Linked DNA regions of Neurospora crassa OR74A. The protein of the gene in region 1 interacts with the protein of each later gene in a biochemical or structural test. Links are inferred from orthologs where the notes say so. Each region holds a gene or a part of one and is shown in the gene's direction. Other genes may lie near its edges.

Region 1 (4,146 bases):
CTGGTTCTTCACAGGTTGTCATGGAACCGACTATGGGAAGGGCCACAGAGCAAACGAGTTCTCGAGTCTTGTAGAGTTGCCTTGGGTTGTGTGTACTTGTTTCATTTCAAAGACGCAAGTCATTACCACGCAAAGAAAGCCGTTGGCTCGTTGGTTCTGGATGAGTGGAAAAATGCATTCCAACTCTTACGATAGAGCCTAGGCCAGACGAGTACATAAGTACTCAAGATCAATGAGTGAGAAGGATTGCGAACGGCAACCAGGCACCTGCATTGAACTTGGTTCACTACACGCATTGACAATAAAAAGTATCATGTACACCAATCTGATGACGTTCAGGGTTGTCATTTGATCATGGGATGTCACAACCCGAGCCGAATGGGTGTATTGAACGGACCGTAAGGACGATTCCCGCATTTGCGAAGACGGGAGTTGTAGGCGTGACTGCGCGGGAGTCCCCGGGATCCCGTGCAGGAGGTGATGCCGGCCCCGGTCTCACCCGAGGTGGTTGGCAGGCCTAGTAGCGGGCAGGGCGGAACTCGTCACTTGGCTCCAGGAGTTTGTGATGTTGTGCTGCACAGCTTACCTCCCTCTACTGTACATATTACACTCGTGCGTAAAGGACCCAGCATTCTGATCGATGATGGTAACTCGCGATACTATGGATCATGCGTGAACGGAGGCTAGAGACCGTCAATAGCGGAGCGACCCTCCTAAAGTGCGGGGCGGTGGAGCCAAGAAAGAGGCCACGATAATGCTGGGCGATAACGGGAGGAACGGAGTCACGACATCATCGGTCGGGGGCTGGTGGGAACCCTTATGGCCAGGCACTGCAGTCAGGAGGTCTCCCATCTGTCACCGGTCTTGAATCCTTACCGGCGTCAACAGCCACGGTCGGTCGGAAAGCCGATAGAAAAGCGAAAGAGAATACCTGGTAATAGCTCCCCGTTCCCGTCCGGTTCAGTTGTCGGTGTCCCGCCATGAACACGGAGAACTAACGAAGCTCATCGTCGCACCAGACGGAGCGCTTACCTCAGCAGCCTTTGCAAAGGTCGGTGGAAGAACCAACCGTGAGTCCGTGACACCAGCTGAGCATTCTGTGGTTTACAGTGCCAGCTGACTCGCCCCTTTACTGTCTGGAGCTGAAACGATGCCTGGCCGGGATGCACCTCCCGTCCGGTTGTTCTTTCGTTCGACGACCAACACCTCGACCCCTTTGGTGACACTCTTTGTGGTGTTGGTTAAAGACAAAGTCACAGGTCTCTTTGATTTTATATACTCATCTTCATGTCTTCTGGTCATTTCCTCCATTGCTGGAAAATTGCGATCCAACCGTTCACTCTTCCCTGTTTGCCTCTCGGTGCCCTCGATCGGACCACGTCATTGACCGCTCACTTCGTTGGGGGGTTCGCTTATCAAATGCGGGGAACCAGCAAGGTGCACGTCGGTATTCCATGATGCCAGCTGGACTGCTGCTGTGTGAAGCATCGAGCAAGAGGCCATCAACAACCTGATAGAGGGAACAATTATAATAACATGGAGAGAAGCTTGTCAAGATGCTGGCAAAGTAACGAGAAGTCGAGATGGCACTCTCGGATTTGTAAACAACTGAAACTCGAAGGTCCGTCGTCCAGCCACATGCAGATCATTCTTTGGCTTATTCATCCAGAGAGAACCTAACTGAAGCAGGGCAAACAGCCCGGCTGAGGTGACTGACGCATTGACGGGCAAACGGCTGGGTGAGTGCCCGCCACTGCAGAAGGCGTTGACAGTGCGATCAATCAGCCGCGGTCACTGTTGGGGGGGATGTCCAACCACTCCTGCCAACGGGCAACAGCCAACAGTCAAGGGGGAAACTGTCGTCTGACTGGCTTCTTCTCGCGCCTTCCCTCCACTTCTCTGTCACTCCCAACCGCCAAGTGGCTTGTGCGTGGCCTGTCAGTGAAGGTGAGTGACACACCACTCACACCGTGGCAGGCGTTGCAAACGGACCAGTGACGATCGACTTGGGACCTGGCACCTTTCCGCTTCCACTCCAGTCCCGTCACCTCTTCCCCTTCACTCAGCCCCCCCGCTTCGCTTCCCTTTCCAGGCAGTGGAAGCCTGGCCCCTCCAAGTTCGCCATCCTGATTCCTGCCACTTCCGCCGCAGCCAGCACCTGAACCTACTTATTTAATCCTCCCCGCCCATCTGCATCCCCGATTCCATTTCTTCCGCTTTCACCATCTCTCTCCATCGCCATCATCGCAGGAGTGTTCATCCACGCACATATCATTCCCGCCACTCGATTCTAGTCATTTCGCTTCATCCATCAACAGTCCATTCGTCCACTGCACAACCCCCATCATGCAGATTTTCGTCAAGACTTGTAAGTTATCGCACGCTCACCGCATCATCACTTTACCATCGATCGACCGATGCTAACTATCTCTTCGCAGTGACCGGCAAGACCATCACCCTCGAGGTCGAGTCGTCGGATACCATTGACAATGTCAAGCAAAAGATTCAGGACAAGGAGGGCATTCCCCCCGACCAGCAGCGCTTGATTTTTGCCGGCAAGCAGTTGGAGGATGGCCGCACCCTTTCCGACTACAACATCCAGAAGGAGTCTACCCTCCACCTTGTCCTCCGCCTGCGCGGTGGTATGCAAATCTTCGTCAAGACTCTTACCGGCAAGACCATCACCCTTGAGGTGGAATCGTCCGACACTATCGACAACGTCAAGCAAAAGATCCAAGACAAGGAGGGCATTCCTCCCGATCAGCAGCGTCTCATTTTCGCCGGCAAGCAGCTTGAAGACGGCCGCACTTTGAGCGACTACAACATTCAGAAGGAGTCTACCCTTCATCTCGTTCTTCGTCTACGCGGTGGTATGCAGATTTTCGTTAAGACGCTTACCGGCAAGACGATTACTCTCGAGGTTGAGTCTTCCGACACCATCGACAACGTAAAGCAAAAGATCCAGGACAAGGAGGGTATCCCACCTGATCAGCAGCGTCTCATTTTCGCTGGAAAGCAGCTCGAGGATGGTCGCACCCTCTCCGACTACAACATTCAGAAGGAGAGCACCCTGCACTTGGTGCTCCGTCTTCGTGGTGGTATGCAGATTTTCGTCAAGACCTTGACGGGCAAGACGATTACGCTGGAAGTCGAGTCTTCGGATACGATTGATAACGTGAAGCAAAAGATCCAGGACAAGGAGGGTATCCCGCCTGACCAGCAGCGTCTGATCTTTGCTGGTAAGCAGTTGGAGGATGGCCGGACCCTCTCTGATTACAACATTCAGAAGGAGAGCACTCTTCACTTGGTGCTGCGCCTCCGTGGCGGCCAGTAAGCGGATTGTCGTCTTTGTTTCTGATTCTTGATGACGAGCAAGGGTTCATTTGGGCGTTCAGCGTTTATTGGGTTACTTATTGCATCCATGGGTTGGGAAATGATGACAACCATGAAACAGGGCATATCTAGCCGAATCTAATGGCACACGCTTCATACATACAGCGATGCCATAATAAAGACTATATTTACGGTCTCAAACATGATGTCTCTTGGTGATTTGCTTGTGTCTCAATTCGTGAGCTTTTGTTATTCCCGTCAACCTGTCATCTGGTCAATTGGGGATGGAGTCGGACGTGTAAGTCAAGATGGTGGTGCAGTGGGTTGGTACACACCGTGCGAGGTGACCGTTGCGTGGCCGAAAGTGGCGCCCTTTTTTGGTGGACAAGATGCATCATACGTGAAAGATACGTACCGACCGCCGAGTTCAGTTCGCGCTAGTCCGGCCGTGGAGCCCTCCCTCCCCCCCTGTGAAGGACGATCCAACGTCCAACGTCCAACGTCAAGTTCGTAGTTGTGGAAGGTTGAATGTGAAGAGGACATCCGGAAGGACCTCTCATCCTCTCTAATCACCAGGGCAAGAACCATCACTGCATGGAGTTTGGGCACACATGAACCTGCAGAGATAGGCATCGGCGACTTGATTGACGTAAGGCCCGCGTCCAAGGTGTCTTAATCGACTCTTCATCTTCTTGATCCTTCTCTGTCCTTCTCTTGCTCTTCCACTCTTACAGTCAACGCAATACTCTCAATATTACACTTTCATCAGATTTTTCATCAAAGCATTGTTGTTTCTCGACCATCACAACAAGG
Region 2 (4,088 bases), on another chromosome or scaffold:
TGCCGATATGCCATATCCAAGGTGGAATAGGGCGCGAATGCGTGGCCGCGATGGGAATACTCACGGTCAAGGACCTTCTCGTGGTAGGACCTCTTGGCGACGACGGCAACGGCGGGCGCAATCTGGCGCGCAGCCGGCATGACGGTAGGGCGGACGGCGTTGGCGAGAACGCGGCCGGAAACAGCGCGAACGGATCTGGAAAACATGGTTGCGGATGTGTTGATTGTGATGTTTTTGTTTTGTTTCGTTTCGTTTTGTCTTGGGTTGTTTTGTTGTTTCTGTAGGATAGGTATCGGTGATGCAAGAGACGAGTTCTGGTGATGAGTGGATGGCGAAAAGTCAAAGAGGCCGAGATAAAGAGGTTGGCGGCGGACGGGACTTGGGGATTAAAAGTTGCTGGAATTTGCGGATTTGGCTGCGGATTTGCGGGCTTGCGGCACTTGGTCGCCAAAAAGTCGATGATGACCCAAGGGGGCGACTTGCTGCACTCGGGACTGGGATACGAAAAAGAGGGGTTGGTCAGAGCTCTCCTAACAAAAGCGGAGCACAATCACCAACCAAAACAGCCAGGCTTCTGTTAGGCCAGTGACAAGACGCGCTGCTACGGACATGGGGGGCGTCATCCCCGACGTCGGCTTGGTCGGTTGGACAAAAGAGAGCCAAGACAGTTCTGAGCTCCACTTGCCGCGGAGATAAGATGATCAGATTACGGAACACCGAATGTACCTACGTCTCGCGATTCGGTCGTCGTTGACTTGGAATTCTGGACGATCACTCGCTTCCCTTGGACTTTTTTTTTCCAGCCGACGACAGATGAAAATGCTAAGCACGGGCTTCTACACTATAATGGTACTTAGTCAGGTCCTTGTTCTCTTTTCTTACCTCGTCGAATGGGCATTTCTGTCGCCGTCAAACGTACCTCCCGTCCAAAACTCTGCCTCTTGATTGCAAACTGGAAAATGACACTTTCTTAACAAACCGTATCTGCATTGTCACTGTGTAACGTGCCACAATGTTAAGAAATGCATAACAGATCGTCCACCACCGATACCTAAGCAAGCGCCAATCCCTGCTCCATTGTCCCCAGACTGCAGCACATCATCCCTGTCCGCTGTCACAATCCATGAAACGGCAGCGGGGTTCGAACAAATGGAAGGCGGCAGGGCGAATGCCATGAAGCGCGGTTGCCTGGAACATGGGGATTGGGGAGTGGTTGCTGTCCAGTGCCTGCCGCGTCAGCTAAAGTTACCCCACAACATCATACCTCAGCTCAGCTCACTGCCTGCAGCTACGGCAAGCTTCCATTTTCCTTCACGCTTCTTCCATCTTCTCTTCCTCTGCAATACAACTTCACTTGGCGGTAGACTTCATCCAACAATTCGATGACTTTCTAGTTGTACACAACTACACACCAAGAATACAGACAACATAGCTTGGTTGATTTCATTCATACATCATCGCGAATCCGCCCAACATGTCGTGCCCCCACATCGGGTCCGCAAGTAAGTCTTGCTTATTCCATGTTTGCATGCTCTTTGGAGCTCAGCTCAGCTTCCATCATGTGTGGTGCGCCTCTAACTCAGGACTGGACAACGTATTTCTGACACACCGATTCTAACAGACCTCGCGAAGCCGTCGCCTACCGACAATGTCTACCGCGAGGATTGTACCCAATGCTTCGATTCCATTGTCCGTACTCTATCCTGGCCTTTCCTCTCTTCTTCTAGCCCCATCTACCATGTCCAGCCTAGCAACTAACCGCCTCGCTGTAAATAGGACGACCCAGCTGGTCTGGATGTCTGCTTAAAGTGCTTTAACGGAGGCTGCGCTGGCGACCGGAATCACGCAAAGCTCCATGCCACCTCGCGAAACCACCCGCTCGTCCTCAACATTCGCCGAACCCGCAAGATCATCGAGCGCAATGAGCCGCCTCTCAAGATGTCCAAGCTCGCCATCGCGGCCGAGACCGAAAGCGATCGCTACGATACAACACTTACAGTCAAGTGCTTGGACTGCGGAATCGACAACTTGAACAAGGAAGATGCCACCATCGCCCCCGTCATCGAGGCCGTCATGAAGGCCAACACGTTCTCACGCAAGGAGGAGGTCAAGGCCTGGGAACAAGAGCTCACTACCTGTGAGCACATCTTGACAATGCAGCAAGGAGAGCCTCGCAAGATTGAGTCTCAGGATCTGGGCCATTGCTCCAAGTGCGACTTGAACGAAAACCTTTGGCTGTGTTTGGAATGCGGAAACCTTGGTTGTGGCCGCGCCCAATTCGGTGGTGTCAGCGGAAACTCTCACGGTTTGGCTCACGCGACCGAGACCAAACACGGCGTCGCTGTCAAGCTTGGTTCCATCACCCCCGAGGGAACGGCCGACGTATACTGCTACAACTGCGACGAAGAGCGCATCGATGACAACCTGGGCGCCCACCTGGCCAACTGGGGCATTATCCTTGCCGAGCGCGAAAAGACGGAAAAGAGCTTGACGGAAATGCAGATCGAGCAGAACCTGAAATGGGAGTTTTCCATGACCACTGAGGACGGCAAAGAGTTGACACCCGTTTTTGGCCCTGGCCTGACTGGCCTCAAGAACCTCGGAAACAGCTGCTACCTTGCCAGTATCCTACAGTGTCTCTACGACTTGCCCTCTTTCCAACAACGGTACTATAGCGACAAGCTTGGTCCTCTCCCCAGCGTATCAGATCCTGCCGAGGACCTCGAAACACAGCTTCGCAAGCTTGGTGATGGTCTTCTTTCCGGCCGGTACTCCAAGTCAGACGCCGATGTCTTTGCTTCTGAGCACACTCCCAACGTCCCTTACCAGAAGGGTCTCCAGCCTTCCATGTTCAAGCACCTCATGGGTCGTGGCCACGAGGAGTTCTCGACCATGCGGCAGCAAGACGCCTTTGAGCTCTTGCAGCATCTGATCAAGCTCATCACTCGATCCAAGCATCCAGTAGAGCTTGGTGATCCCACCCAGCCCATGCGCTTCGTCATGGAGCAGCGTCTGCAATGCCTCAACTGCAAGAAGGTCCGCTACAGTAGCAATGAGCAGGACAGCGTCTTCATTGACGTGCCCATGGAGAAGCTTCCACCCGAGGAGGAGGGTCAAGAACCGAAGTACAAGCCTGTCACGCTCAAGCAGTGTCTTGACAGCCTGACTGCCTCCGAGGTCGTTGAGCTGACCTGTGCGGGCTGCGGAAGCAAGGATGGGTTTACCAAGCGTCAAGCCTTCAAGACCTTCCCCGATGTCCTCGTTGTCAATGCCCGAAAGATGGCTGTTGTCAACTGGGTCCCCGTCAAGATTGATGTTCCCGTCATTGTTGATGACGAGCCCTTGAACCTTGACGAATACCTTTCCAAGGGTCAGCAGCCTGACGAAGAAGCCCTGCCCGAGGATGAGTCGGCCAAGAGCAGCGCTCCTGCATTTGTGCCTAACGCGGAGGCGCTTGCCATGCTCGAGGCCATGGGATTTCCACGAGTCCGTGGTGAGAAGGCGCTGCATGCCACAGGCAACTCGGATGCCAACGCTGCCATGGAGTGGCTGTTTGCTCACATGGATGACCCCGATATTGATGTGCCTTTGGACCTCAGTGCCAGCAGCGGTGGTGCGGCTTCAGGAGGCGCTGGCGCGGCTGACCCGGAGAAGTTGGCCATGCTTGAGTCGATGGGATTGTCTGGACCGAGGGCTGTAAAAGCACTGAATGAGACCGGTGGTGATGTGGAAAGAGCCATCGAGTGGCTATTCAGCCATCCTGATGATGATGGTGCGGACGCTGTTGAAGAGGAGGCACCGGCTGGCAATGAGGGGCCAAAGAAGGAGGCGGGCAGTAGTGAGTTGCCAGCCAAGTTCCAGTTGCAGTCGATTGTGTGCCACAAGGGAACGAGTATTCACGCTGGGTAAGTTTCCATCCACGTATTCAGTCACCGAATCACACGCTGACCATGACAACCAGACACTATGTTGCTTTCATTCGTAAGAAGCTTAGCGAGGACGAGACCTCCTGGGTCCTTTTCAACGATGAGAAGGTGGTCAAGGTGGTGGATGTTGAGGAGATGAAGAAGACTGCTTATGTCTACTTC
Region 3 (3,947 bases), on another chromosome or scaffold:
GCCGAGTAGATCTTGAACAGCTTCGAGTTGATATCCAGGAATGCCCTGCCGTAAGAAAACGGAGCCAAAATCTCTTCCGCCCACTCCAAATGACCACAGATGGCAAAGGCCGCCGCCAGCGCCTCCACGCAGTTCAGCCGAAACGGCTTACCATAGTTGACCGTGTTGGCCGCCACGAGGTACGGCAACAAGCGCTCGCACTTGCCGCCCACCTTTTTCCACTCCACCTCCTTGGTGCGGGCCCACGAGCACTCCACCACCGCCGCGCCATACTGCTCCATCAGCTCCTTGTCGGCGGGCGACACGACCCGCTTGCCGTTGGGCGTGATGATGACGCCCGAGTGTCGCTGGCCCAGGTGCAGCTCGCGCATGAGACCGAGTTTCATCAGCTTCTTGCCTGAGCACCGCTTCGGGTCGCAGTGGCCTAGGTCCCAGCAGGCGGCCTTGAAGGGAGGGCGGTAGGGGCGTGAGGACGTGGACGGGTCGTGAGGGTTGGCTGTGGTGTCTTCGCCGCCGCTGCCGGCATTGTCTCGGGGGCCTTTGCTGCTGCGGGGGTTGTTGCGGGGCGCGTTCCGACCATGGCCGCCTTTGCCGCCGCGCGAGGAGAAGCCGTCCTTTTTGTGGCGGACCATAGTGGTGATGGTTTGAATTTCGTCGGGAGGATGGATGTTGTCGAGATGGAGTGCCGATGGTTTTGGCTCTGGGGTTGAAGCTTGTAATTGACGGACTTTTTTTTATGTCGCAATGGATGGATGATTTTGGCACGACCTAGCACTGCCTTGCTTTACCAGGGCAGAACTTGGATGGAAATATGCGTGCCGTCTTGGACCACAATGCGAGCTGCTTGCGCTACAAGGTTGAAGTGGCAGATGGCGAAAAAAGTTATGGATGCGATTTGAAGACCTTGACGACATCGCATTTGGGGTTCAGTTGGTGCAGGTGGGGTGGACAGGTGGGTCCGCTGAGGATGTCCATGATTGACGTCTTCCCCGGATTCATGCAACTCACCGATTGTTGCTGCGGAAGATGCTCGATTCGCAAGCGTCTGCCGCGCTTACACCATGCTGGAGGCGCTTGTCGAGGTGCTGTGGATTGAAATTGCAGTGTATTATTCATCCACAAAGATAGTATTCTTGTAACGCAGTCTCGCAACGTACCGATGTGCGGCTCCATTTTTCCTTGCGCCCCAACAACCTCAACGGCAGGCAACAGCGCAGGCCCAAGCCCAACCCGTCCGTCCAGAGCACTGAGAGGGGTCCACGACCTGACCTAGCCGTGTAAGCTCCCGTCCCCTAGCAGCAGTAGGCCTCTCCTCCTTCCATCAGCCAGCGATCCAGGTGGACACATTCCCGTTACCTCTAGGTACAGAAGTTCGGATCGAATCATAGTCCAGTCTCTGGGTGTATAACGAAGTATCAAACTGTAGTAGTACCATACCATACCTCTACTCACCATACTTGGTAATAATCCCAACGGCTTACCGGGAAGAGGGGGAGCTTCACTAGGTACCTACCTTACCTCTAGCACACAACTCCTCTAGACTACACTAGAGCTTGACCGACCAAAGGCTTGGTTGGGTCCTGGTTGCCGCCATCCATTACCTACCTATCCAGGCGACTCCCGCCAAGCTGCGCAATCTGGCCCCAATACCTCCTCGGTCTCTTCAGTCTCGTCAGTCTCCTCATCCACCACTCAACACGTCCCGACTCCCCGAGAACGCCGGCAACATGGAGGCGGCGTCTGCCCGCTATGCCACGCGCGACCGGTGGGCCGAGATGGGCCGCCCGGCCCCGTCCCAGCTTCAGCGCTTCATCACGGCCGCCTGCAGTCCCGACAACTACGAACCCAACTTGGCCCTGAACCTCGAGATCGCCGACTTGATCAACTCCAAGAAGGGTTCCGCCCCTCGAGAGGCCGCCGTGGCCATCGTCAACTACATAAACAACCGCAACCCCAACGTTTCGCTGCTGGCCCTCAACCTGCTCGACATCTGCGTCAAGAACTGCGGCTACCCCTTCCACCTCCAGATCAGCACAAAGGAGTTTCTCAATGAGCTGGTACGCCGCTTTCCCGAGCGGCCCCCGATTCGCCCCACCCGTGTCCAGCTCAAGATCCTCGAAGCCATTGAGGAGTGGCGCTGTACGATTTGCGAAACGAGCAGATATAAAGAGGACTTGGGCTTCATCAGGGACATGCACCGCTTGCTGAGCTACAAGGGGTACACCTTCCCGGAAGTCAGAAGGGAGGATGCTGCTGTGCTTAACCCGAGTGATGTAAGTGTTCCGTCCCGATTCCATGGGTCATTGTTGAAGCGTGTCTAACCTATCTGTCACAGAACCTAAAATCTGTCGAGGAAATGGAAGAGGAGGAACGCGAGGCGCAGTCCGCCAAGCTGCAGGAGCTTATCCGTCGAGGTACTCCCGAGGACCTCCAGGAGGCTAATCGACTCATGAAGGTCATGGCTGGCTATGACACGAGATCCAAGGTGGATTACCGCGCCAAGGCGGCCGAGGACGTGGGCAAAATCCAACAAAAAGCGAGACTTCTCGAGGAGCGGTTAGAAGCCTTTCAACCCGGCGACAAGATCGTGGATGGCGATGTGTTTTCCGAGCTCGCAGCCGCCCTGTCTAGCGCCCAACCAAAGATCCAGAAGATGTGCGAGGAAGAATCAGACGACCATGAAGCAGTCGCAAAACTTCTCGAAATCAACGACAGCATACACCGAACTGTGGAGAGATATAGGTTGCTGAAGAAGGGCGATATAGAGGGTGCCAAGGCATTGGCAAGTGGCGCGCCAGTTGCAAGCACAAGCAACGGCAGTGGAAGTGGTGCTGGCAAGAGTGCGGCGCAAGAGCTGTCGCTCATTGATTTTGATGCTGAGCCAAGCGGGGGGGACTCGACCAGCCAGTCCGCACCCCAGGGAGGAAACAGCCTCGACAACGACTTGCTTGGCCTGTCGCTGGGTGAAACCAGCTCTTATGGTCAAGGAGGTGGCATTGCCCTCGGGTTCGGTGCCAATACGAGTATGTCACTCGCTGCTTTCCGTGCAAGAGTCAAAGAGAATGTTGCTAACAGATCACCACAGACATTCCTGGACCGGCACTGCTCTCATCCACCACGCAGAACAGCACCGCACGGGGCCCCTCCCCTCAACCTGGCCCATCCTCTTTCAACAATTTCAACTCATTCGCATCACCAGTTGCTTCTCAATCAAGCACCCCCAAGCCTCCCGCGTATACAGCATCCGCTTTTTCCGCGCCAGCTGCGTCGTCAACAGCGTCCAACGACCCATTTGCTGCTCTAGCCTCTCTCTCCTCTTCATCTACCCCGGCGCCAGCGCCAGCACCAGCTGCTACCGGTAATGACGATGACGAGTGGTCTTTCTCCTCGGCACTGCCTCCTGAGGCGACACCCGCCCAGCCTAAGGAGCACAGAGCCGTTGTTTCTAACACTGCGCTCAAGGTCGACATGGTGGCTGTCAGATCTCTGTCCAATGGCCCATCTCCAGCCATTTCTATGCAATTTGCTTTTAGCAACAACACAGCGCAACCCATCACCGAGGTGCATTTCCAGTTGGCTGTCACCAAGGTAAGCTCACTAATCTGACCCTTGGCACTTTGACCAAAAATGTTTTGGGCTACGTTATGTGCCTTCGTCAGTTGTAGAAAGCCCTCAAGCGAGATGCTAATTGTGATGCTTGAACAGGGATACGAATTGCAACTTCAGCCTCAAACAGGACGGACTCTTACCCCCAAGCAGAGCCGGGGCATTACCCAGTCAGTCAACGTATGGTATACGGCGGACAAGACCAGGAAGGTAGAGAGCGTGAAACTCAGGTGGAGGGTATCATACAAGGTTGGAGCGGAAGCAAAGGCCGAGATGGGTGAGATTCCCGAGTTCAGTGTGGCATAAGCAGGAACTTTGGTAAGAACGAGGGCCACAAGAAT
Region 4 (4,028 bases), on another chromosome or scaffold:
AATATGTTTTAGTGATTACGGATACGGAGAGCGGTGAGTAACCTGCAGGCCTTTTTTTTTTCTTTCTTCTGAAAATCCAAAAAAATCAGTCTATATGGTGTAACACCACCCGCAGACACGATACTTCTGGCCGTGCTGATTTGGAGTTAATGCCCATGTGCTGACCCGACTTATTGCACACCAGGGGTTTTCACGGCCACATTCCTCCGAACGCAGATTTGATCTTGTGAGTTGTCTCCTGTATGCCACATATCTTGCTCCAGCTTGTCTCTACAGTCAAGGTAGCGGCGGGCAAGATAGCGTCAGCAAGGATACGAGCTAATATGTGATAGTGACGTATATCTCAAGGGTCTCCAGTAGCTGGGCGGTTCACTGATCTCGGGAAAAGGAGACGAGGTCCTTAGTTCAACGCCTCCAACGAGCCAAAGTAGGGACCGCTGGGCAAGAAACCACTGGAACTTGAAGTTCTTTTGGGAAGATAGATTTTATGTCGGTGATGGCGATGACGAAAACACAGATGGTTGGTGTTTACGTTGCGAGGAACCTTGATGGGTAAAGACGAGGAATTAATTGAATGACGGGAGGTTGAAGCGATACAGGGAAGGTTGAAGTACCCGCGCAGCTATGTTAATATGGAGAAGTACCTACAAGCGCCTCATTGAATGTGATTGGCTCACTACGATAAGAGAGCACAAGTTGCCTGCCGGATGGGCTGAGTGGCTGGTCCTTGCTTACTGTACCAAGTACGTTTTACCGCCATCGGTACATCGGGCAAGTACCTCTAGTGCATGACCGCCTCGTACCGTCTACTGCCAGGGGTGTTAGTAATGATTCGATCCTTCTATTGCTGTCCTCACGGTTCCTTCCAGGTTCATGCGCGCGTGAACCACAATACATATTGGCTTCCCTTCAGCATCAATGAGACTCTGAGTCAAGGTTTATCCGATCAGATAGGAGACAGGGCACAGCCAGTGTGAAACGAGGTTGGGTCGAGGTAGAGGTACCTAGAGGTACATAGCTAGCATAGCCACTTCCAGACGTACAACCTAGTAATAGGTGCGAGGCCGCATACGGTGAAGGCTACAGCACACTGCACTAACAGCAGTACAGCGACCTGCACGCTGCAGCGGTAGGTGCTTGGCCAACGACGGACAGTGCATCACATCACCATTCCCCGCAGTTCTCCTTGATGCTTGACAGCTGGTGGCGGGGCTGACCGAACCTCCCTCGACATCCCCGCCGCCCGACCTTCCAGATTACAGACAGCTTCCACTTCCACTTGCACTTGCACTTGCACTTGCACCTTGACATAGTACGACATAGTAGCACTTGCGCTTGATCCGTCGTCTGTTTTCCCGAGTCATTCAACTACAACATCGGCGTTTTCTTTGGACCAACATCGCCAACTTGAAGTATCACAATACCCGACCACTGCGAATCAACAACTTTAGGTTCAGTTCTCGTTCTTGTTTTTGCTCTGTTTGCGTCACGAACTTTCCACCATCTATAATCTACCGGCCCGCCCGTAATCAACAGTCGCCAAGCTGGGGAAGCGCAAAGTATCCGAAGGGGACCTACCCATCTCTCTAAAGAGAACCATGACAGTGAGTTGAAACCCCGTTTGTCTACATGAATCCTACTTGGGATGGCAGATGCTTGTTCCTGGTAGCTAGCGCCAGTCAGTCTGACACTTTCGTGATGCCCATCTCCCAGGACACTCAGAAAAACGAGGTCGACCTTGTCACCAGGATGCAAGTCGACGAATCAGTAGCCGGCACCACGGCCGAGATTGATGAGTCCCTCTACAGTCGCCAGCTCTATGTCTTGGGCCACGAGGCCATGAAGCGCATGAGCGCTTCCAACGTCCTCATCGTCGGCCTCAAGGGCCTCGGCGTCGAGATCGCCAAGAACGTGGCCCTTGCTGGCGTCAAGAGCCTCACCCTCCACGACCCCGAGCCCGCCGCCTGGGCCGACCTCTCCGCCCAGTTCTTCCTCCGCCCTGAGGATGTCGGCAAGCCTCGCGACCAGGTCACCGCTCCCCGCGTTGCTGAGCTCAATGCTTATACCCCCGTTCACATCCACCAGTCGCCAAGGTAGGTTATGAACCGGACGGGAGTGAGCTTGACAGGTTCGGTAGCTAACCGTGGCCTCTGTACAGTCTCGCCGATAACCTGTCGCAGTTTGACAAGTACCAAGTCGTCGTCCTTACGAACCAGCACACCGATCTCCAGACTATTGTCGGCGAATACTGCCACTCCAAGGGCATCTACTTTATTGCTGTCAACACACACGGTCTCTTTGGCGGCATCTTCTGTGATTTCGGCGATAACTTTACTGTCATGGACACGAACGGCGAAAACCCCGTTAACGGTATCGTGGCTGGCATCGACGAGGAGGGTCTCGTTTCTGCGCTTGACGAGACCAGGCATGGACTTGAGGATGGCGACTATGTGACCTTCTCGGAGGTTGAGGGTATGGAGGGACTCAACGGCTGCGAGCCCCGCAAGGTCACCGTCAAGGGCCCCTACACCTTCTCTATCGGCGACGTGTCGGGGCTTGGCCAGTACAAGAAGGGCGGTCTCTACCAGCAGGTCAAAATGCCCAAGACCATCGAGTTCAAGAGCATTACCAACGCGCTCAAGGATCCCGAGTTTGTCATCTCCGACTTCGCCAAGTTCGATCGCCCTCAGCAGCTTCATATTGGATTCCAGGCTCTCCACGCTTTCGCCAAGTCTCAGGGACGTCTACCAAGGCCGATGAACGACGAGGATGCGCTTGTGGTTATCGCCTCGGCTAAGGAGTTTGCCAAGCAGCAGGGTGTTGACGTCGAGTTCGACGACAAGCTTCTCAAGGAGCTCAGCTACCAGGCTACTGGTGACCTTAACCCCATGGCCGCTTTCTTCGGTGGCCTTACTGCCCAGGAAGTCCTCAAGGCTGTTTCGGGCAAGTTCCACCCCATTAAGCAGTTCATGTACTTCGATGCGCTCGAGGCTCTTCCCACCAACTCCAAGCGCACCGAGGAACTCTGTGCGCCCACTGGTAGCAGGTATGACGGCCAGATTGCGGTCTTTGGTAAGGAGTTTCAGGAGAAGATCTCGAACGTCAAGCAGTTCCTTGTTGGCGCTGGCGCCATTGGCTGTGAGATGCTCAAGAACTGGGCCATGATTGGTCTCGGAACAGGCCCTGAGGGTAAGATTACCGTTACCGATATGGACTCGATCGAGAAGTCCAACTTGAACAGACAGTTCTTGTTCCGTCCCAAGGACGTTGGTCAGATGAAGAGTGACTGCGCGGCCAAGGCCGCGCAAGCTATGAACCCTGACCTCGAAGGCCACATTGTTTCTCTCAAGGATCGCGTTAGTCCCGAGACCGAGGAGATCTTCAATGAGGAGTTCTGGCAGGGTTTGGATGGCGTCACTAACGCGCTGGACAACGTTGAGGCGAGAACGTATGTCGACAGACGGTGCGTTTTCTTCCACAAGCCTCTCCTTGAGAGTGGTACCCTCGGCACCAAGGGCAACACGCAAGTGGTGCTTCCTAGGCTCACTGAGTCCTACTCTTCCTCCCAGGATCCTCCTGAGCAGTCGTTCCCCATGTGCACTCTCAGGAGTTTCCCCAACAAGATCGAGCACACCATTGCTTGGGCTCGTGAGCTGTTCGAGAGCTCATTTGTCAAGCCTGCGGAGACCGTCAACCTCTACTTGACCCAGCCAAACTATCTCGACACTACCCTGAAGCAGAGTGGCAACGAGAAGGCGACGCTGGAGATGTTGGCGGACTTCCTAAAGCACGAGCGCCCGCTCACCTTTGAGGATTGTGTCCAATGGGCTCGCATGCTCTTCGAGAAGCAGTACAACAACGCTATTCAGCAGCTCCTTTACAACTTCCCCAAGGATTCCGTGTCCTCGACCGGTACCCCCTTCTGGTCCGGACCCAAGCGCGCCCCTGACCCGCTCAAGTTCGACCCTGAAAACCCCACCCACTTTAGCTTCCTCGAGGCTGCTACCAACCTCCATGCCTTCAACTAT
Region 5 (4,251 bases), on another chromosome or scaffold:
ATGCGCCAAACGTACCTTGTTTTGTTCCGTTTGAACAACCTTTGTCTTTATCGCTGCTGAACAGAGAGTTACAAGAGGGGCAGAAAAGGGTCACAGTGTTCGAAATCATATTTTCTGTTTGACAGTTGGGCATGTAGATGGGATGCTTCATGCCAGCCTCATCCCCGGAAGCACCATCCATTGAGCGCTTCTCGAGAGTGCGAGAGGTAGATGTGAAAAGGGCAGTTGACCAATCATATCGTGAAACAATCCTCTGACGGGGATATAGGGGTCGAGCACCTGGCTTCAGTTTCCGCACATTGTAGAGCCCCATGAACAGACGCCGTTCCGAAGGTGAGGAAAGTGCACATGTCGTAGCCGTGATATTGACAGTAGAGATGAGATATCCGTGTGTATGGATCCAGGGAAAGGCCGCTCTCGCAACCTGAACCTGTCGATCGCCAGCTGCAAGATGTGATGTGATAGTGAAAAGAGAAACACCCCCGCGTTTTGTAGCGGGGTTCTTCTGTTCTTCATCACTCTCTGTTTCCACATCCGTTGAATGCGGCTGCCTTGAGCGTTATTACCACGCACAAAAGGAGACGAGGCTCGGTTAATTCCATCACTTATACCTCTCTTCAGTTTCCTCATCCCATCATTCTGTCAGGTTGGGCTCAGTATTTCCTCTTTCTTCATAATGGATGAAAGATACGGATAGAAGCGCGTCTAATGAAGAGGTGAAAAGAGGGGTCAGCCGTTGGGCGCCACACCAACAAATCGCTGCACTGGGCCTTCATAGCCGCCGGCTTGTAGCTTTGTACCACACCCGGACTGTACGGGTACCCGAATCATTGGAGGATTGTTTCCGAAAACGGGGACCAGGGCAAGGCATTGAATATCGAGCCATGAAGCAACGCCCATCTGGACGGGCGATATGGATGGAGGGAAGGTGTGGAAAGATGGACTAGGTAGGTAGTGCTAAGCTTATTGTACCTTCCTGGTCTTATAATGGAGCTGCTTCCCCCGTCTGAACATGTGAGGAAGATGCCTGAAGCGATCTGCAGCCGGCGGCTAACTTGGAGAGAGCGGATGGAATCCATCTCTTGGTTTGCCTCTTCTTCGCTCGATTAGTTTCCCGCTTGGATATTCTGGTCCAGCAAACCTCACTGGGTGTCTTCGATTTCAAGCTAAGTGCTAGTGGCTTTCACATTGAACTCCATCTTCGATATCAGAGGCATCTTGTAGGTCTGAATCACAGCTGGAGAGAGCCCGGCCGGTGACAGGGGATGATGGAAGCTATACGGGACTGTCTCCGTAGTTGGGTGGCTCCTTCCCCGGTAGCTGCCGCCTGCCCCATCACGCCCATTGCTGCCCGCCGCCTATCGATGACCTGTCAAGCGGTGCACATATAACATATGACGGGGCCTGGAGGTGCCGCTCTTTCGCTTATACGATGAGCGAGACCGAGACAACTTTTGCAAAAGTTGGCCAGCCATAAATAACAACCTAGTATTGGTTTGAATACTATTACCAAGCAACATCACCTCAGCTTTATGTCTTGTCAATCGTCGAGCGTCGCCAAGGTACCTCTACCTAGGTAGTGACCAAGCCACCCGGCCACATTTGGAGACCTAAGCAACCATAAGGTACCTAGGTACCAGTAGTTCGCCTTGTGCCTACCTACTGCACCTCACCAGTTCCCCGGATCTCCCCCTCCCCAACCCCCAAAGAAGTAAAAAGTCCACAACGTGGTTCTCGACTTTACCGTCCACTCCAACACGGCCAGGCGGCCATCAACGCTCAATCACCACAGCAGAGTTCACAGCAGGGCAACCGCCGTTGGCAAAGTACCAGGTACCCCTCCGCCGCACGCGAGCTCTGACGACACAAGCTGGCTTGTTACCCAAAGCTTACACGAACACGCAACTCTCCTCCCTCTCACAACTCGTCAACCGCCAATCTTTCACCCTTTTCCCCAGTCTGCCACATACCATCGGCAAAGTAGGCTTAGGAAAGCTGCAGTCGTCACGCGGCAGACAACACGGAAAACCCACAAGAACTTGGATTACAAGCCGCCAGAACCGGGACTTTCGTCTTGTCTTGTCCCCGCATTCCGAACTCCATCGAGTCGTTTACCGAACCGAGACGCTGAATTCCAACCGCCCGCCCATACTCGCCCAACATGGTGCAGGCGCCCATGATCTCGGTGCCCCTCAAGGCCACAAGCGAGATTGACTGGGTTGCTCCCCTCAAAAACTACATTCGAAATACGTACGGCGATGATCCGGAGCGCTATGCCGAAGAATGTGCGACCCTCAACCGGTTACGCCAGGATATGCGAGGCGCCGGGAAGGACAGCACGTCGGGAAGGGACCTGCTCTATCGCTACTACGGCCAGCTCGAACTTTTGGATTTGAGATTTCCGGTGGACGAGAAGAACATCAAGATTTCCTTTACATGGTATTGTCCCTTCCAGTGTTCGGGACCCACATCGGTTGCTAACCATCTGCTGCTTCTGTAGGTTCGACGCTTTTACTCACAAGCCCACAGCGCAATATTCGCTGGCTTTTGAGAAGGCCTCCATCATCTTCAACATTTCCGCCGTTCTATCCTGCCATGCGGCACACCAATTGCGAACCGAGGAGGCGGGACTCAAGACGGCATACCACTCGTTCCAGGCCTCGGCCGGCATGTTCACCTACATCAACGAGAACTTCCTCCACGCGCCCTCGTCCGATCTGAGCAGGGAAACGGTCAAGACGCTAATCAGCATCATGTTGGCCCAGGCGCAAGAGGTCTTCCTTGAGAAGCAGATTGCTGATCAAAAAAAGAATGGTCTGCTCGCCAAGTTGTCTAGCCAAGCAGCCGCTCTCTACGCCCAGGCTGTTGAGGGCGTTCAGGAAAACGTCACCAAGGCCATTTTCGAGAAAGTTTGGCTGTCTGTGGTTCAGGTAAGTTGTGTAGGCGTGGGTTCCGTATCAGGAAGGATGGGAAATCTGGGGCAAAACTGACACAAAATATTAGATCAAGCTTAACTTCATGAACTCACTCGCCCAGTACTATCAAGCCCTCGCTGATGAGGATGCAAACTCTTATGGCGTGGCCATTGCGCGTCTTGAAATTGCACAGGGTCTTGCCAAAGAAGCAAACAAGATGGCACACAGTTTTCCCACCTCAGTGCCCCCGAACTCGAATTTGACTTCGGACTGTGGCCACATCCTGGCAGATGCGACCAAAAGACACCTCGCAACTGTCAAGGAAAAGTTGGAGGAACTCAACAAGGAAAATGATATGATCTACCATCAACCCGTACCTGCTGAGGCCAGCGTTGCACCAGTCCCCAAGCTGCCGGCTGCGAAACCGATACCCGTTAGCGAACTATATGCCGGCCAGGATATTCAACGGATCACCGGCCCCGACCTATTCGCGAAAATTGTGCCTCTCGCGGTCACCGAATCGGCTAGCTTGTACGATGAAGAGAAGGCCAAGCTGGTGAGAGCTGAGACGGAAAGAGTAGAAACCGCAAACAGCGAGATGGCGGCTAGCCTGGACTATCTCAGGCTTCCGGGCGCTCTTCAGGTTTTGAAGGGAGGGTTCGATCAGGATATCCTTCCTGACGAAGACTTTAGGACATGGTGTGTGGATGTCGCGGATCACGAAAGCCCTCATAGGATTTTCGAATATCTTCATACCGAAAAGCAGGCCATTTCAACAATACTGGATAAGAGTAGCAGGCAGTTGGATATGGAGGAAAGCGTGTGTGAGAAGATGCGTTCCAAGTACGATGCGGAATGGACTCAGCAGCCGAGTTCGCGGTTGACCACTACGCTCAGAACGGACATTAGGAGGTATAGGGAGGCCTTGGAAGTGGCAGCGAAGAGTGATGGGCAGCTCGCGACAAAGCTTAGAGCCAACGAAACTGAGTTGGATGAGATGCGCCAGGCCGCGCAGCATGGAGAGATCGATGAGTTGTTCCAGAGAGCAGTCAGGAAGTCGCGAAAGTCAAACCCGAATAGCCCCGCCACCGTGGAGCCTAATCTTTTGGAGGCCGATTTTGATGATGGTGGCCCGAGTGTGGTTGAGCAGATCCAAAAGGTGGAAGATATTCTGAAGAAGCTCAGCTTGGTGAAGAAGGAGCGTCTGCAGGTACTACAGGATCTGAAGCAAAAGGTATGTTGATCACTCACGATGAAGAGTCGAGTGTGGTTCATCAAGAGCTGACAAAACAACAGGCGCACAGTGATGATATCTCCCAAATTCTTATTCTCAACA
Region 6 (4,094 bases), on another chromosome or scaffold:
CAACAACCCACATGACCGGCGTCGCACGCGTAGCAGCTCTACCTTGACGGGCCATCTCTTGGGAAAGCGCTGATCTCCTCCTCAGTCCATGCCCTTGCCCACGCCAACTCCACTTCAGACGGACGAACGAAGAAGAATCCTCATCAACGTGAGGGCACTCGCTGCTAGTGCGTCGACATCTCGCATTGACGGACAGCCTATCATAGTGTAATAGTTCCATGATCTCAAAGGTTTGTGGAAGACAATGGTCGCTTAAGCACGTCGTATCCTTGCTTGGCCCGCAGCAAGAAGAACTGCCTAGGCGGTATGCTCTAAAGTGCGGTTAGAGATGTGTCTTGATGTACACCAAGGCTACACCAAGGCGGTGAAGGAGCAGATGCTCGATATCCTTGATACACTTACCTGGAGTATCCTGGCATGGTCCACGGACCATGCACTCTGAGCTGTACATACCTGTCTGGTATAGTCCATATGTTCTACCTCCTAGTTCGCTGAGGTTGACGCGACGGCCCATATAATGCCGCCATAACAACAAACGCTACTGATCAACCGAAAACGTGAGTAGTTTGCGAATACGATTTTGTTGTGCAGGTTTGACGGAAGACATCAACGAAAGATTATTCTCGCCAAACCGGCTATCGGCTGAGGGTCACTGAACCTTCAAGAATGCTGATTGCGCATCAAAGTAGGAGGTTTGATGCGTTGAGTTTCTTTCATCCACCAGAATAAAAGTGTAGGCAGAAGCGATGAAGTGTCTGCCATCTGAAGAAAGTTTGTTCAAAACCAGAGAAGGGAAGAGGTTTAGGTTTGTCAAGGGAAAGAGTGAGACGATTCGCCCTCGTCCATTAGTTTAGAAGGTACATGGATTTGGTTCGAAGCAGCAGCTAATCGACAGTACCCTGTCATCACACACATGCGATAACAAAAGCTACTGGACAAGCTGATAAGATGGGGGGAACCGGTCAGGTGTCAGGTCATGTGGATGCCGAGAGCCCGATAGAACCTCAAAGAAGCGGATGGGTGTGAGAGCAGGAGAGTACTATCAAGGTGTCGCAGCTGACTGGAACTAGTAGGTGACAAGATAGTGGCTCACCATCTATATGGCACGCAGAAGTTGCAATCAGGCACCGTTCGTATCATCCATCGATTCCATGTAGTATGTATACCTATGTATACGCCTAGTGACCGGCGTTCGTTACGTCGAGGCCCTGTGGGAAAGCTGAAGTAGGGTACTAAGGTACTGTAACATGCACTTGGTAGGTAGGGTTAGGGATGGAGTCGTGTTCAACGACAGAAGTGAAGCCTAAAAAGGCAAGAACCTCGGTGAACACTACACTACCTAGTATACCTTAATGACGGCTTGTAGTGGGGTCTGCTGCCTGCCGTGGAGGGGCTCTTAATGCCATGCCACCCACCTGCCACTGTTGGCGGCAGCGCTTATCGGCCTCCGCCTGTGACCTTCCAACATTACAACAACTCAATTACTTTGGTTCCCAACACAACCCTTTTCCGTAGCATCACCATTCCTCAACTTTCACCAGCACACGAAGCTATCGTAATTCCATACGAACGACTTTGCAGCAGGCTTTCACATAATCCCATCACAAAGTGCTGAACTCGAACGTGGGGCGATCGGAGCTCCCCTGAGACCAACGTCATCATCCACGACCGCCATTAACCGTTTCATTGCCGAATCGTAAAGCGATAGAAATCATGGCTGAGGCTTCAAATACTGGCGGCGATGGCCAGATTACCTTCAAAGTAAAATGCTCAGGCGACAAGAACCACACAGTCACCATTGCCGAGTCTGCGACCGTCCTTCAGCTCAAGACCCTGTTAGCGGGGGAGGAATACGAGAACATCTCGCCGGAGCAGCAACGCCTCATCTACTCCGGAAAGGTCATGAAGGACGATGAAGTTCTTAGTTTCTACAAGATCAAGCACATGAACACAGTGCACATGGTTAAGCGTCCAGCCAGCGCCGCGACAGCCAGCAGTGGCTCAACCTCGACACCCGCTCAGCCCGCGATACCTCAGAACATGGCTGCCGGCACTCCCTCGAATAACCTTTTAGCTGGCCTCACAGGCGCTCGCTTTGCCGGTCAGGTGCCGCTACCAAGCCGAGACCTGTTTGGGCCGGACGGAGGAGTACGCCACCCCTTTCTCGGCCCCCTGGACCCTTAACATAGCTGTTTACTAATGATGTTTTATAGATGGGCGCGCCTCCTAGCGAGGATGAAATCGCGAACATGCTCTCGAACCCAGCGATGGCCCAGGTCATGGCCGAGGCGTTCAACAACCCCGCCGTCATCGACCAGATGATTGCCTCCAACCCGATGTTGGCCAACATGCCCGCTGATCGCGCTCGCGAGCTTCTCAACTCTCCGATGATGCGCAACATGATGACGAACCCGGAGGCACTTCGCATGGCGGCACGCATGCGTAGGATGATGGGCGGAGGCGCCAACGCCTTTCCAGCGCCCGGGGTAACGGACAACACTCCGAACGCGACGACCGGTGCCGGTAATAACAACGCCAATGCCGATGCGCAGAACCCGTTCGCCATGTTTCTTCCATTTGGTGTTCCTCCGGCGGGCGCTCCCCCAGCAGGTAATCCCTTTGCCGCGCTCTTTGGAAACCCCGCGGGGTCTTCGCCTGCGTCTACCGGAGCTTCGACCGAGAGTGCCAGGAGCGGGGATGCCGCATCTGCTCCGGCTACTGGCGCCACTTCGGGGTCTGGGCAGCAAGCAGATCCGTTGGCATCTTTGTTCGGAGCGCTTGGAGGTGCTGGTCAGCCTGGTCAGGCTGGTGCCGCGAACCCTTTTGGTTTGCCCCCTATCTCGCCTGAGGCCTTGCAGCAGATGATGCAGGCATTTGGTGGCGGTGGTTTGGGTGGTTTTGGCGGAAATCCCGTTGCTCCTCCCGACAACAGGCCGCCAGAGGAGAGGTATGCTGAGCAGCTGCGTCAACTCAACGATATGGGTTTCTTCGATTTTGATCGGAACGTTGCTGCACTACGCCGCAGCGGTGGTAGCGTACAGGGTGCTATCGAACATCTTCTGGGCGGTTCTTAACTTAAATTTCTTTACTAGACGGTGCAGAGATGTGGACCGGAGATTGACAGTTATCTGCTGTTCCTCAAGGATACGGCGGTATTCACAATGAACGACAGAATGTCGAGGGGATAGTGGATTGAAGGATGTCCAGGGAGTGCAGTGTTATCTCCTGGCGAGGTCATTGTTGGGCCGTGCTAGATATATTTTAATCAAATATCTAGCGATAATGGTTGCTCAGGAGGACGATAGACAGTCCAGCACAGAGACGATGCTCAAAACAACACCCCTTCAGCGGGTGTCCTCACGTAAGGAGGTTTACATGTTTACAGTTTAGCGATCTTTATCAAACATGTCTCCTCTTGCTTGAATCAACAAGGTTCTTTTGTCCTCTAAGAAGACGAGTTCGCATACAGTAGCCGGGCTAACTATCAACACCACTAATCAACTCTTATTTGCATGCTATCATTCCCTCTACCGATAAAGCACCGTCAAATCCCCAGCCGGCACCGGAAAGTTCCTCAATTTATCCATAATCTCCGCGTCCGTCATGTTCCTCTCCGTCATGATCTGATCAAAACAATGTCGTCCATCCATATACTTTTGCAACGGATCCCCACTAGCCTTCATCATCATCGCCATCTTCTTGCTGTTCGACCCCTTCCCCCCCGGACCCCCATGACTCCCGGGTTCACGATAGGTATCATAATGTCCGCCCGGCACCGCCACTTTATGTTCCCTCCCCATTTCCCCTTCGCCATACCCCCTCCCACTTTTCCCTTTGCCTGTGCCAGTTCCGGTGTCGGATGGCGAAACAGGTCTAGCCAACCCCGTAGCTAGCGCAGCCAGATACTGTTTCGAGATAACATACTTGTGCACCCTGTACAAACACCCCTTGATGACGCCAAATTGAACTAAGCGGCGAACGTCCACGTACCGTAGGACGTCGAAGCCGGAATCCATATGGCCCTTGAGCCATTCGGCCACGGTTTTGCCGACGCAGAAGGTAGTCATTAGGCGGATTAGCATGTAGTTGGATAT
Region 7 (4,034 bases), on another chromosome or scaffold:
CTCCATGGCTTTCCCCGTCCAGCCGCCCATGCCGCGCGTACACGAGACAAGACCTCACAAGATTGCGTCGCCACCGAAGCAGCAGCAGCAGCAGCAGCAACAACTAAACAACTTTGCGCAAACGTCACCATCTACATCATCAAGCCCCTCTCAGCCCACCCCCGTTGCTCCCAAGCAAGAACAATCCAAGGCCGCCGCCGCCGCAGCACAAGCCTCCTCCGCCCCCACGCAACCAACGCCCTCCAAGCCCGCCCCCCGCGCCTCCCGCCTGCGCGCCCCTCGCAAGGCCGCCATCAACCTCACGTCCGCGGCTGTCGAGCACCTGCGCGCCATGCTGGACCAGCCGGAGCCGAAGCTGATCAAAGTCGGCGTGCGCAACCGGGGGTGCAGCGGGCTGGCGTACCACCTGGAGTACGTGGACAAGGCCGGGGCATTTGACGAGACGGTGGAGCAAGACGGCGTCAAGGTCTTGATTGACAGCAAGGCGCTCTTCAGCATCATTGGCAGTGAAATGGACTGGGTGGAGGATAAGTTGAGTCAGCGGTTTGTTTTCAGGAATCCTAATATTAGTGAGTTTTTACCCCCCCCTCTTTTCTCCCTCGATGCTGCGGAAAGGAATTGGGATGGGATGGTGGCTAATGAAAGGGAAAACAGAGGAGCAATGCGGTTGTGGAGAGTCATTCATGGTATGAATAAAGGACATGAATGATATTAAATCTCGGTTAAGCTAGGGGTGGGCCGGGCGTGGAAGCCGAAGCGCCTTTCAGCCGGACAGTCATGCGTGACACGACACGACTTTAGAGAGAGCTACGGGACGGTCTTCACTTCAGTGGCTCCCTTGGCGCATCGAGAACGAAGGACCGAAGAGTTATGTATGGAGCTTTCAGAGTCTTTTTGCGTCATTTGTTAGCGCTCGCGCGCTTGGGGGGGTTTTCTTTCGGCGAAAGCATGGGTACTGGCGTTTGGGTAGAGAGCATTATTCCCTTTATTGTTCTTGTTACTTATTTTTTTTCCATTCTGGTAAACTCAGATATGGACGGCTCTATCAAGGGCCTCTTTACTTATCGGTAGTGTTGCTGTATAATTTTTCTCTCTTTTCCCTGTTGCACCACCATTTATACAAGGGAGAGCAATGGAGAGGCTTATCATCATACTTGATATCTGGCACGCATAAATGGTTCATCCCATATTTTGGCTGTCATGATTACATGCATTCTACTGTGTACCTTTTCCTGCGATGCCCTCTAATGACGCATGCTGTGGTTTTTGATGGCTGATTAATCATGACTTCTGACTTCTGTTCGTGCGGCTCAAATGCGGGCACCTGTCAATTTGCCAACGGTCCAGCGGGAGCTACCCCACATGCTTTATGTATCCCCGCCGCAACACAGTTCCCCACCCACCAACACTGCAGCGGCAGGGGGACAACAGCTGTTAACGCGTTCGAAAATCAATTTACGCCCTCCAAACGCGTCTCCCGTCACCCCCAATTTCGCCATTCGACAACCCATTTTTGCTATTCCTCGGGTCATCTTTTGAAATTCCACCGTTCAGACACATTGAGAAGACCAGATTTTGCTTCAGTCTTGCTTTCATCCTACCCACTGACACATGCGACGCCATGGCGGTCACTTGTCCGATATGTAACCAGGCCGTCAAGGGCCTCGACAAAATCAACAGCCACATTGATTCCGGCTGCCAGTCATTCCTCGAGACAGCCGCCGACAGCGCCACCGCCCAAGCTGAACCACAAAGTAGTGGACAACAGAGTACCCAGAACGGAAACCTACCACCAAGTTCAACCCAAAAGAAACGAAGTGCCGCCGACTTCTTCCAGACTCCTGCCAAACGACTGGCCGTGTCAAAGATACCCATTGCTTCGACACCCCTACCAGTCCATGGAAGTGCTGCTGCTTCGACTGCTGCGCAAACACCGAGGACGGGGACCAAGAGGAGGTTTGATGAGGGACCGGGGTTGGATTCGCCTTCGATAGACGCGGCGAGGAATAGGAATGGAGGAGATGGGAGCGCAGAGACACCACAACAAAACGTGAATACTGGAGAAGGGGGAGTAGGAACAGGAGGAGGAGAAGCACAACCCAGCCCACCGATTCAACCGCTAGTAAAGCGCACAAAACCGAACAACAGATCCGCTCCCTTAGCCGAGCGCATGCGCCCCGGCTCTCTCGACGACGTCTTCGGCCAGGATCTAGTCGGGCCCAACGGCGTCTTGCGCGCGCTGATCGAAACCGATCGAGTCCCGTCCATGATTCTCTGGGGCGGTTCGGGAACCGGAAAGACGACGATAGCGCGCTGCATCGCCCAACGAACAGGTAGCCGCTTCATCGAGCTAAACGCGACCAGCTCAGGCGTGGCCGAGTGCAAAAAGTATTTCGGGGAAGCGGCCAACGAGCTGCACCTCACAGGTCGCCGCACCATCATCTTCTGCGACGAGATCCACCGCTTCACCAAGGCGCAACAAGACATATTCCTCAAACCCGTCGAAGCAGGCACCATCACGCTCATCGGCGCCACCACGGAAAACCCCTCCTTCAAAGTCGTACCCGCCTTGCTCTCTCGATGCCGCACTTTTACTCTCCAACCTCTATCTCGCGACGACCTCCAGCGCATCCTGCTACGAGCCCTCAAACAGGAAATAACCGACCAACACCTGCCCCTCAGCCCACTAATAGACGACGAACTACTTTCCTACCTCTGCGCCTTTGCCGACGGCGACGCTCGCACGGCCCTCAACCTCCTCGAACTCGCTTTATCCCTTACTACCACCACCACCACCACCACTTCCTCCCCCGACGAACCCCTCACCAAAGAATCCATCAAAGCCTCCCTAACCAAAACCCTCGTCTACGACCGCGCCTCCGACCAACACTACGACACCATCTCCGCCTTCCACAAATCCATCCGCGGCTCCGACCCCGACGCCAGTCTGTACTACCTAGCGCGCATGCTCCAATCAGGCGAAGACCCCCTCTTCATCGCTCGTCGCCTCGTCGTCATCGCCTCCGAAGACGTCGGTCTCGCCGACAACTCCCTCTTGCCCTTAGCAACCGCCACCTACACCGCCACCCAACAAATCGGCATGCCTGAAGCGCGTATCCCTTTAGCGCATTGCACCGTAGCGCTCTGTTTGGCGCCCAAATCGACGAGGGCATACAGAGGACTGAATAATGCGTTTTCGGCCCTTAGGGAACCGGGCGTGGCGGCGTTGCCTGTCCCGCTGCATTTACGGAATGCGCCGACGAGGTTGATGAAGGAGATGGGATATGGAGCCGAGTATAAGTACCCGCCCAATTATCGGAATGGGAGGGTGAAGCAGAGTTATTTGCCGGGGGAGTTGGTGGGGAGAAAGTTTTTGGAGGAGAGGGATTTGGGGACCGAGGTGGATCCGGATGTGGAAATGGGGGAGGGGGAGGATGATGGGGAGGTTAATGGAAATGGGGAGGGAGGGGTGAATGGGACGACGACGTAGGGTGTGGTTTTGTTGGAATAGTACGATGTCTGGTTTGGCTTGTAGTGCATGAATAATGTGCATTTGAAGCGTCCAAAAAAAGGTTATGGATAGGCTGGCGTTTTGGTGTTAAATGTACATGTTGGTATAGCATTCATTGTTGGACGTTAGAAAGATATGGAGTTGATGACTAGATACTCCAGAACTAGCCGAACTTGGTTGAACAAGCGATTGTGTGTTGATAGTGCCGGATTTGACGTCTTCCACTTAAGACACAATTCAGCCCTGGTTTGGTTGTTTTGTGTTGTTTGATAGGTTGGTACAACGAAAGACGCCTCTTCTCAATGAAGATGCAAAAAAGCATTCGGGCTTTGAGTCTAGCGGATGAATGCCGTGGGGATACTCTCTTTTCGTATTTTTCAGTTTTGAGCATCATGAAGCAGGCGGACAGAGAGGCATAAAAAATAGAGGCTGTCGTGACCGTTAAGCCCTCACTAGCCGTCCCTTCAAGCGAAGGGTTTTCTGAGTAAGCGAATGAGAACTCTGGATGTTTAAATGCTCTTTA

Evidence for each region.
Region 2: the proteins of ubi (region 1) and NCU05777 form a complex in vitro, tested with the Saccharomyces cerevisiae proteins (3 studies listed by BioGRID). The link is inferred for Neurospora crassa OR74A from reciprocal best matches to the Saccharomyces cerevisiae genes UBI4 and UBP14.
Region 3: the proteins of ubi (region 1) and NCU06105 form a complex in vitro, tested with the Saccharomyces cerevisiae proteins (2 studies listed by BioGRID). The link is inferred for Neurospora crassa OR74A from reciprocal best matches to the Saccharomyces cerevisiae genes UBI4 and GGA2.
Region 4: the proteins of ubi (region 1) and NCU04370 form a complex in vitro, tested with the Saccharomyces cerevisiae proteins (4 studies listed by BioGRID, with this or other methods). The link is inferred for Neurospora crassa OR74A from reciprocal best matches to the Saccharomyces cerevisiae genes UBI4 and UBA1.
Region 5: the proteins of ubi (region 1) and NCU08001 form a complex in vitro, tested with the Saccharomyces cerevisiae proteins (2 studies listed by BioGRID). The link is inferred for Neurospora crassa OR74A from reciprocal best matches to the Saccharomyces cerevisiae genes UBI4 and BRO1.
Region 6: the proteins of ubi (region 1) and NCU03028 form a complex in vitro, tested with the Saccharomyces cerevisiae proteins (14 studies listed by BioGRID, with this or other methods). The link is inferred for Neurospora crassa OR74A from reciprocal best matches to the Saccharomyces cerevisiae genes UBI4 and DSK2.
Region 7: the proteins of ubi (region 1) and NCU08706 form a complex in vitro, tested with the Saccharomyces cerevisiae proteins (2 studies listed by BioGRID). The link is inferred for Neurospora crassa OR74A from reciprocal best matches to the Saccharomyces cerevisiae genes UBI4 and MGS1.

The regions. Positions count from the first base shown.
Region 1 is NC_026506.1:3,143,698-3,147,843, forward strand, and holds ubi (ubiquitin), read left to right. Parts: upstream 1-1,346; 5' UTR 1,347-1,621; intron 1,622-1,689; 5' UTR 1,690-2,346; coding exon 2,347-2,368; intron 2,369-2,438; coding exon 2,439-3,334; 3' UTR 3,335-3,886; downstream 3,887-4,146. UniProt on the Saccharomyces cerevisiae protein: Ubiquitin exists either covalently attached to another protein, or free (unanchored).
Region 2 is NC_026507.1:3,794,955-3,799,042, reverse strand, and holds the start of NCU05777 (ubiquitin carboxyl-terminal hydrolase 14), read left to right. Parts: upstream 1-1,288; 5' UTR 1,289-1,474; coding exon 1,475-1,502; intron 1,503-1,621; coding exon 1,622-1,689; intron 1,690-1,776; coding exon 1,777-3,905; intron 3,906-3,961; coding exon 3,962-4,088. Other genes in the region: NCU05778 (iron sulfur cluster assembly protein 1), read right to left, coding at 65-206. UniProt on the Saccharomyces cerevisiae protein: Required for the adaptation to the presence of glucose in the growth medium; mediates the degradation of enzymes involved in gluconeogenesis when cells are shifted to glucose-containing medium.
Region 3 is NC_026507.1:1,783,576-1,787,522, reverse strand, and holds the start of NCU06105 (ADP-ribosylation factor-binding protein GGA1), read left to right. Parts: upstream 1-1,147; 5' UTR 1,148-1,727; coding exon 1,728-2,273; intron 2,274-2,335; coding exon 2,336-3,023; intron 3,024-3,085; coding exon 3,086-3,588; intron 3,589-3,705; coding exon 3,706-3,912; 3' UTR 3,913-3,947. Other genes in the region: NCU06104 (RLI and DUF367 domain-containing protein), read right to left, coding at 1-632. UniProt on the Saccharomyces cerevisiae protein: May play a role in the regulation of membrane traffic through the trans-Golgi network.
Region 4 is NC_026504.1:3,604,379-3,608,406, forward strand, and holds the start of NCU04370 (ubiquitin-activating enzyme E1 1), read left to right. Parts: upstream 1-1,228; 5' UTR 1,229-1,598; coding exon 1,599-1,604; intron 1,605-1,713; coding exon 1,714-2,093; intron 2,094-2,158; coding exon 2,159-4,028. Other genes in the region: peptidyl-prolyl cis-trans isomerase fkr-3, read left to right, coding at 13-33, 185-226, 333-360.
Region 5 is NC_026504.1:3,874,816-3,879,066, forward strand, and holds the start of NCU08001 (vacuolar protein-sorting protein bro-1), read left to right. Parts: upstream 1-1,451; 5' UTR 1,452-2,161; coding exon 2,162-2,439; intron 2,440-2,500; coding exon 2,501-2,930; intron 2,931-3,003; coding exon 3,004-4,149; intron 4,150-4,211; coding exon 4,212-4,251. UniProt on the Saccharomyces cerevisiae protein: Class E VPS protein involved in concentration and sorting of cargo proteins of the multivesicular body (MVB) for incorporation into intralumenal vesicles. Fusion between endosomes and the vacuole will then target the cargo proteins to the vacuolar lumen.
Region 6 is NC_026501.1:8,392,116-8,396,209, reverse strand, and holds NCU03028 (deubiquitination-protection protein dph1), read left to right. Parts: upstream 1-1,444; 5' UTR 1,445-1,713; coding exon 1,714-2,148; intron 2,149-2,213; coding exon 2,214-3,074; 3' UTR 3,075-3,527; downstream 3,528-4,094. Other genes in the region: NCU03029 (hypothetical protein), read right to left, coding at 3,528-4,094. UniProt on the Saccharomyces cerevisiae protein: Involved, with RAD23 in spindle pole body duplication. Involved in the ubiquitin-proteasome proteolytic pathway.
Region 7 is NC_026502.1:3,748,261-3,752,294, reverse strand, and holds NCU08706 (AAA family ATPase), read left to right. Parts: upstream 1-1,448; 5' UTR 1,449-1,621; coding exon 1,622-3,490; 3' UTR 3,491-3,534; downstream 3,535-4,034. Other genes in the region: NCU08707 (iron sulfur assembly protein), read left to right, coding at 1-569, 655-692. UniProt on the Saccharomyces cerevisiae protein: Involved in the maintenance of proper DNA topology and chromosome integrity via annealing of single-stranded DNA breaks. Modulates DNA polymerase delta during replication or replication-associated repair.